Linked DNA regions of Coturnix japonica. The protein of the gene in region 1 binds, or shares a complex with, the protein of each later gene. Links are inferred from orthologs where the notes say so. Each region holds a gene or a part of one and is shown on either strand. Other genes may lie near its edges. The genes, in order: HBS1L and PELO.

The links.
Region 2: HBS1L (region 1) and PELO share a complex: the UniProt entries of both Homo sapiens proteins name them as parts of the pelota-HBS1L complex. The link is inferred for Coturnix japonica from reciprocal best matches to the Homo sapiens genes HBS1L and PELO.

Annotation. Positions count from the first base shown.
Region 1 is NC_029518.1:50,454,620-50,459,181, forward strand, and holds the start of HBS1L (HBS1-like protein), read left to right. Parts: upstream 1-1,678; 5' UTR 1,679-1,785; coding exon 1,786-1,828; intron 1,829-4,562. UniProt on the Homo sapiens protein: GTPase component of the Pelota-HBS1L complex, a complex that recognizes stalled ribosomes and triggers the No-Go Decay (NGD) pathway.
Region 2 is NC_029547.1:17,374,171-17,378,501, forward strand, and holds the start of PELO (protein pelota homolog), read left to right. Parts: upstream 1-1,277; 5' UTR 1,278-1,589; coding exon 1,590-2,315; intron 2,316-3,448; coding exon 3,449-3,880; 3' UTR 3,881-4,331. UniProt on the Homo sapiens protein: Component of the Pelota-HBS1L complex, a complex that recognizes stalled ribosomes and triggers the No-Go Decay (NGD) pathway.

The DNA.
Region 1 (4,562 bases):
AATACTATTTTTTTTTTCCTTCTTTTAAATACTATTTTTTAACTACTCTCACAATGTTACATTTGAATATCACGCAAATGAAATGTAAGGCATATCTGCAGAGTAGCTGAAAATCCAAAGTGATAACATAATGAACACGAACATAAAATTCAAAAATGAAAAATAATTATTTGATAAGCATCTGATGATTTGTGTAAAAAGCACGATGAGGAAGACTAAAAGGACATCTTTGCAATAGGACGATCTGGTTTGAAATGAGAAATGTCACTATTTGAAAAAGGAAAATATGTTAAATTTACATGATTAATATTTACTTGACATTCTAACATTTCAAAAAATAAGATCTAATTTTGGAGGTTGAAAAAAAGTGCAGTTTCCAAGTTCAAGCTTGTTGGAGGCAGACTGGCAGAACACTGTGAGGCTTGTAGTGATACAGGGTTCTAATTTACAGCTAATTTACTTCACCAGAGGACCAGATCGCACATGCTACAATCAGTTTTTGAATTTAGAATTGTATCACCCAACAGAAGATAGTGCCACAACTCTACATGATGTTACACAACATTAAAGCATGACATGTACAGTTAGGAGCTTTCTACAAGCACTCTCATGGCATGACTTACTTTGAATGTATCAGTCTGACTTCTGCTGTTAGAAGCAATGGGAATCAGCTGTTCAGAAATTTCATACATTTCTGCAGGGAATCACTACTGCTACAAATGGTTTGGGTACGTATTTGTCATAATCCTTCAAAAACTGTATTTGAAAACACTCAAGAGCTTCTAAAGACTGTTTGGTGCCATGTGGAACTTAATGTTCAGCAAGGGTGCAATATGAAATCATAAAGAATGACAGCAGTTCTGCATCTCTGACCCATATCAAGAGATTGGGACAGATAGCGATAAATATAATTTCATTCAAACTGTGGCAGAGAACATTTATTTCTGTCACCGAAGGTCAACAGTACATCAACGTTAATTAAATATTTTTGTTTCCAGATCTAATTTAATCTTAGCGCCATATGAAAGACATTATATAGATCCTAGGTCTGTGCAGCTGCGCGCGCTGTTCTGTACAAATTGATTAGAAATATGCAAATAACACAAGGAAACAATCTGCACATTTGCATGCAATTTGTACATGAACACACAGTTTGGCTTATGTTTAACACACCTTGCCTCTGGCTGTGGTCAGGATGGTTAAATATATATACTACTACATGCAAACGTGGTTGTAGCAATTTATTCATTTTGTGGCTCATACAGAATCACAGAATGACCTGGGTTGGAAGGGACCTCAAGGATCATGTAGTTCCAACCCCCCTGCCTGGCAGTGCCACCAAACATACACCTTTACTAGATCAGGTTACTCAGGGCCCCGTCCAACCTGGTCTTGAACACCTCCAAGGACGGGGCATCCACAACCTCCCTGGGCAGCCTGTTCCAGGGCCTAACCACTCTCCTGGTAAAGAACTTCCCCCTAAGGGCAGGTTACACTCCCATTGCCATTTGGACACCTCAATGCACACTGACACCCAGCCCTCCCTCCCTCCTCCTGCTGTGAGGGCGGAGGCGCCTCCACCCCGCCCCGCCCCGCCCCGCTCCCGCCGATCAGCACGCGCCGCATCTGCCGGACAACGCTGCGCATGCGCGAAGCCGCGGCGCGGCCGGAAGTGCGCTCGGTGCGCTTGCGCATTGGGCTTCTGCGCGACCCGGCAGAGACCAACATGGCGTCTTAGGCCCATCGACCCAGCGTCAGCGGGCGAGCGACGCGGCCGCCGCCATCATGTCCCGGCACAGGAACGTCCGAGGCTACAACTACGACGAAGGTAGTGGCGAGCAGGAGCCGGCGGTTATATCCGACGCCGATCCCGCTTCGGGCCTGCCAACCACCCTCCCTTCACGCAGCCCCGGCCCGCAGCCCTTTCCCGGCGGGCCCTTGAGGAGACCGCGAGGCTCGAGGCGAGGGCGCGGGGGATCGTCGGGCCGGTGGGAGGGGAAAAGCAGCTGCTCCCTTCCCCTCCCCTACGCGGGGGTTGGACGAGGCGCCGTGGGAGGCCTCGCCCCGCTCCCCTCGGCCCCCCCGCCGCTTCCCGCCCGCCGCCGATGGGCTGCCTCGTCGTCAGCGGGAAACGCTTTGCTGCCCGGCCCGGGGCTGCCGAGGCTGAGCGATTTTCAGAGGCGTGGGAGTCGCTTAAAGCCAGTGACGGTGTGACTGAGCCTCTCTTGAGTCTTTTGGAAGTTTATGGGTCCAGTTTCAGTGCAGCAAGTTGTTACTGGTATATTATGGATAAGTGACAACGTCTGTACAGCGGCAACACTTCTGTGTAGGAGAGAATTTTGGATGTTAGGGGGAAGTTCTTCACTAGGAGAGTGGTTAGGTCCTGGAACAGGCTGCCCAGGGAGGTTGTGGATGCCCCGTCCTTGGAGGTGTTCAAGACCAGGTTGGACGGGGCCCTGGGCCACCTGATCTAGTAAAGGAGTGTGTTTGGTGGCCCTGCCAGGCAGGGGGGTTGGAACTACATGATCCTTGAGGTCCCTTCCAACCCGGGTCATTCTGTGATTCTGCGAGGCATAGTTCTGAATCATAGACCTGAGCAGCTAAGGAAGAATCAGATATTTCTGTTATATTGTACTCAAGTTTGTATGGAGTGAATAAGATCTCGTGTATGAATTTCAGCTTATAGTAAAGTGACTTTTTTTGTGTCCTGTCCCATTAATACAAGCAAACTGCCCTTTGTGCCCATTGGCTGAAGGGTTTTATTTGTGTTGGCTTGTGTTGTGAAAAAATGGGCACAGTTCCACTTTATACTGGTGTTCTAGATAATATGTTAGTATGGAAGCAGCTACTTCGTCAGGTACAAAAGAATGCAGAATATATTTCTCCCTGTCTCCGCTCTTCTGAGTGAACAGGTGCAAAGTTCAGAGATCGGGTTTTGTGCCATGAATTTGGACTTTTGAGAGAAATCATTTCAATCTGCATTTTCCATTACTGTAGTGTGAGCTGCCTTGCTCTCCAAGTTTACCTACTAGAAGCCCAACCTTAGCCTGGGTTGGGAGTTTTTGTGCTGAATTTTTTCAGCCTCGACAGGCATTTACTTCATCAAAGATGTTGGCTGTAATGTTGCTCTTAACTGGGCCTCTGCCCTCTGTGTGAGTGTACAACCTGTAGAACTCACTTTGGTGCTTTTACTTAGATCAGGAATTCTTTTAACTCATCTTGCTGAGATTCTATAAATTGATTTAACCTTATGAGGCCTGTATTGCTGCTCTGAAGTTCTACTGTTGCATTACACATCAGATTTAATTACAGGTGTGCATATGTGTGGTCTGTATACTTCCGTCATATATTACTTTTGTAGTCACGTGCAATCTTGCTAAGTTACTTAGAATACATGTATGTATTCTGCTTTGTTTAGCCCAGTTCTTGGTCTTCTAAAGTAAATATCTGCGTATTTTTGGTCTCCTTTTTGTAGGAAGGCTTCGGAGCCCTGAGGAAGGATTTTCAGCCTTAATGTAACTGTATTCTGTTTCTGAGCATTTTTTGAGGTTGTGTGTTCAGAACTGAATGAGTTCTGAGCTGAAATCTGCTGAATTCCTGCGGAGTATTTTGGCAAGATAGCTGTTGATGCTGTGGAATTTATCTGTGGTCTAGAGATGCGTTGAGAGTAAAATTAACCTTTCACATCTCAATCTGTTCCTTTTTTGGATGGATACAGTGTTTGTAATATCCTAGTTCTGTGGCCTTTGAGTTGGTACTGGAGTACCAAATTCCTGTGTAACTTCTAGCTACTTTTTCCTCTTTCTTTAAAAAAAAGGGGATTTGATCCAAGTTTATAAATACTTGAGGTGTGGGGGCCATAGTGGTGAGGCTGGTCTCTTTTCAGTAGTGCGTGGGGACAGGACTAGGGGTAATGGGCTGAAACTTCAGCATAGGAAGTTCCACACGAATGTGTGCAAGAACTTCTTTACAGTGAGGGTGACGGAGCACTGGAACAGGCTGCCCAGGGAGGTGGTGGAGTCTCCTCTGAAGATATTCAAGACCCACCTGGACACCTACCTGTGTGACGTGGTGTAGGGAACCTGCTTTGGCAGGGGGGTTGGACTCGATGATCTCTAGAGGTCCCTTCCAACCCCTACAATTCTGTGATTCTGTGAAAAAAGAAGCAAACAGTATTTGTGAACTTGTCAAGCATATGCAGTAACGTCTTCAGAAATATTTCACTATTCCATTATGTATTTCATTATTCTTGGTGAAAAATGTAAGTTTATTTTCAAAGTATATGTAGTACCAGGATATGCGTATATTTTTAATAGAGAATAATTTACTTTCTGATTATGTTTCCTGATATGTTTCTTAAAATTTGAATCACAGAATCACAGAATTGTAGGGGTTGCAAGGGACCTCTAGAGATCATCGAGTCCAACCCCCTGCCAAAGCAGGTTCCCTACACCACGTCACACAGGTAGGTGTCCAGGCGGGTCTTGAATATCTCCAGAGAAGGAGACTCCACCACCTCCCTGGGCAGCAAATGGATGAGGTCTATGGGTATCTTTGAGTAA
Region 2 (4,331 bases), on another chromosome or scaffold:
GTACTCATGCTAACAGTTCGGCATGTGTACTCATAGGAAGAGAGTCTGAGGTCTCATAAATAAATCCTGTTATGTAATATCTGATAAAGTTGTTTTTACATCAGCATCAAGATTAGAAACACTGAATACATGTCACCGGGCCAGATATGAGTTCAGTGTCCTGTTCTAATTAGTGACCAGTGCCAGACACTTTAGGGAAATTCATATTATTCACATGAATTTCACCACAATAGGAGATATCACTTGCTAACACAAATCTTGTATTTCATTAAATCCTTCAGTCAAATTATTTTCCTTGTTAGAAACATTTTCTTAAGAAACTACAGGAAACCATAAAGTTCTTCTTAACCAAGGGGAAGGCAGAAAGTTTAAAACTGTCAAGAGGATATTTCTTGCTTTTCAGTTATGGCTGAGGTATATCAAAACTCACTTTATTTGCTCCAGTTGCCCTGATAAACTTAGAAAGCAAAGTAACTTCTCTCTTTTATGAAGTATTTTCACTTTCCAATCTCTTTGTCATACAAACACATCCTTTTAGTCTCCATCCTTCTCAGTTTCCCCTCATTTTTAACAAATCTGCAACATTCCTTCTGAAAACAGCATTCAGCATCACGACACTGTTTCAAAATTGTCAGAATTCCAAAATTGTCAGAATTTGCACGACTGTATCACAGGTTTTTATATTATTTCTGGTTTGTTAAATTCATCCAAGATGCAAACTGAGTTGTCAACATCAGAACACGGAGCTTTTTATACTGCATGTCTGATGGTTCTCACAGCTGTCTCATTCTGACCACAAACAGGAGATTCAGGAAGGAGCTCAAGTTTTTGGGTGTGTTTGAGTACAACTGAAGGTAGGCTGTATTAAAAAAATATTAGTAACAGTTTAACCAAAACCTTTAAGCTGTTTTTAAGAGTAAAGTCAAACTAACAGTCACGGCTTCGTGTTACTTTGGACTCGTTTTCATTGTGGTCTGTAAATACCATCTCTCTAGTCACCTCTTTCATGCCCTAGCACGTTAGATATCATAGCCTGTTCGATGTGATTCTGAAGTATCACAGAATTCACTTATCTCAGCAAGGAAATCTGCTATTTAGCTGTACTTTTCTCATCTCCTTTATCTGTATCCATGACTTTCCATACCTACATGCGTGTGGAACTTAGTGCAACTACCCCCACTCTCGCTTCAGCTTTTCCACCACAGAACAGAGGCTCCGCCGTACGCATGCGCCAGCTCCTAATGGCTGAGTTGGCGGCGTGTGGAGGGCGTTGCGCATGCGTGCCGTGCGGAAGGGCTGCCGGCCGCTGCTGGCTCCCCGTCGGACGGGTTCGGTGCATGCGCCTGGGGAGGAGGCTGTGAGGCGGAGGGGCGGCTGAGCGGCCTACAGGAGCCTACAGGAGCCTACAGGAGTCGGGTTCCCGGAGCTCTGGTTTCGCGGCCGGGCCGCGTCTCGTCCGCGGTCGGGGATCGGCCCCTGGCTGATCGGCCGGCAGTACGTTCCGCTTGGCCCCGCCGCCACCAGGGCTCACGGGGTGAGTAGACAGGCTGGGCCGCTGCTGAAGAGAAGGTGGGGACGGCGCCGGCAGGATGAAGCTGGTCAGGAAGGACCTGGAGAAGGATAATGCGGGACAGGTGACGCTGATCCCCGAGGAGCCCGAGGACATGTGGCACACCTACAACCTGCTGCAGGTGGGTGACAGCCTGCGGGCCTCCACCATTCGCAAAGTGCAGACCGAGTCGTCCACGGGCAGCGTGGGCAGCAACCGCATCCGCACCACCCTTACCCTCTGCGTGGAGGCCATCGATTTCGACACGCAGGCCTGCCAGCTGCGGGTCAAAGGCACCAACATCCAGGAGAATGAGTACGTCAAGATGGGGGCCTACCACACCATCGAGCTGGAGCCCAACCGGCAGTTCACGCTGGCAAAGAAACAGTGGGACAGTGTGGTGCTGGAGCGCATCGAGCAAGCCTGTGACCCGGCATGGAGCGCTGATGTGGCAGCCGTGGTCATGCAGGAGGGGTTGGCTCATGTCTGCCTGGTTACCCCCAGCATGACACTCACTCGTGCCAAGGTGGAAGTGAATATCCCTCGCAAACGGAAAGGAAACTGCAGCCAGCATGACCGGGCCCTAGAGAGGTTTTATGAACAGGTGGTGCAGGCCATACAGCGGCACATCAACTTTGAGGTGGTGAAGTGTGTACTGGTGGCCAGCCCAGGCTTTGTTCGAGAGCAGTTCTGTGATTACATGTTCCAGCAGGCAGTTAAAACTGACAACAAGCTTTTACTGGAGAACAGATCCAAGTTTTTACAGGTAAGGGGATACATTGTTTTTTACAAAGTTTAAAAAGTGGATTAAGAGGTGCCTTCCATGTTAATAGAAAAGAAATACAAGGAGGATGGGGAAATAATACCATTACTGGAGAAATTAACTTTCTACTACAGCTTCATAGGGGATGCTGTAATAGAAAGGCATATTCTCATGCCTCTCAAGTTATAAAGTAGTTAGGCAACACTCGGGGATTTTTCTTTCCTTGGATAATTTGGCATGAAGTAGAGAAAATATTGGCTTTAAATAACTATTTAATGTACTATTAAAAGTGAAATATTAATTGAAAAGCAGTTCAATTGTAGTGTTAAACAGCCATGCTATATAATATGTACGTTTAGTAGCAGCTTTCTGAAGGTTTTAATAGAGGAAGGGAAGTGGTATAGTTTAGTTAATGTTGCTGCTAGTTATAGATTGTGTAGACCATAACAGTTCTTCTTATTCTTGATTCTAATAATTGGTTGGGGTTTTTTATTATGTTTGTCTGTTCATTTTTGCCTTCCATTGAAATAGGCAAAGACAAATTGAAAAGTAAGTTTTCCTTTTCATAAGGATGCTTTTGTCACTTTAGAATTGTTGCAGGCCTAATCTGTGCTTTCAGAATGGAGACGGTCCAATTCTTAGTGGTCATAAAATTTGGTAGTCTTAAATTACACTAAGAAGCCTGCTCTTGCATATACAGGAAAATGATAATGTGTGAAAGCAAGCATAGAAATATGCAGTTAGACTAGACTTAATGCTTTTGTGCTGTATGACTTCAATCATAAAGGGTCATATTCTTCTTGTATGTTGTAAAATAAAGAGGGTTAAGTTTTCTTAAGTTTTCTTAGTAGCTTGAGATGCTTCTGCCTTTGGTGCTGTTAATAACAGCTTGTTTTTTTAGGGTTGTTTCTAAAGAAAATAATTTTTTTAATAAGCTTAAAATATAGTTTGTAGATTTAGGTTGAGGTTTGTATTGTAGGAGAAGTTAAGGAGGAAGAGTTAAGAAAAGACTTGAAGGAAGAGATAAATTGATTATTATCAAGGTAAATATGTATTGTGGAAGCTATTTGTGATTGGCTAATCAAGACAATTGTACTTTGTATTAAAGAAGGAATCTCTGATTTTGTTTACTCCAGGTACATTCATCATCAGGACATAAGTACGCACTGAAGGAGGCACTTTGTGACCCAGCTGTAACTAGCCGTCTCTCTGACACTAAGGCTGCTGGTGAGGTCAAAGCCTTAGATGACTTCTACAAAATGTTGCAGCATGAGCCTGACCGAGCTTTTTATGGCCTAAAACATGTGGAAAAGGCCAATGAAGCCATGGCCATTGATACTTTGTTGATCAGTGATGAGCTTTTCCGGCACCAAGATGTGGCTACACGTGCCCGATACGTTAAATTGGTAGATAGTGTACGGGAGAACATGGGCACAGTGCGCATTTTCTCCAGCCTTCATGTATCTGGTGAGCAGCTTGGCCAGCTGACAGGGGTAGCAGCCATCCTGCGCTTCCCTGTTGCTGAGCTCTCCGACCAGGAGGATGAATCTAGCTCTGAAGAAGATTGACAACAGTGGCTTCATTTCACAGTATCCCTTCCAAGTGACATCAAAATGACATGAATGGAATGCTGAGATTTAGAGCTGACTGGTTTTGCAAGTTACACCCTGGACCTCCAGCAGTACCAGAAACAGTTCTCAGTCCCTGAAGCTGCTTATTCTTTATGCTTATTCTATATGCTAAGGCAGATTGTCAGCTTAATGTTCTGTAATGTGTACAAAAAGCTAATAAAATAAGCAGAAAACTATGTCAGACTCTTTATTTTTGCTCAAATGTTTGAAAACAGTATTACAGATAGAAAATCCTCCATGCAAGACAGCCAAACTATACTTGGTCTTCTTAGGTACTCATTTACTATGCCTTAAAAAGAAGGGTTGAGAAATGGGGTCATCTATTAGAGGCTTTCTGTGAAATGTTTGAAACAATCTTTCAGAAACTTGACTCCTTAGAGTAACAGTT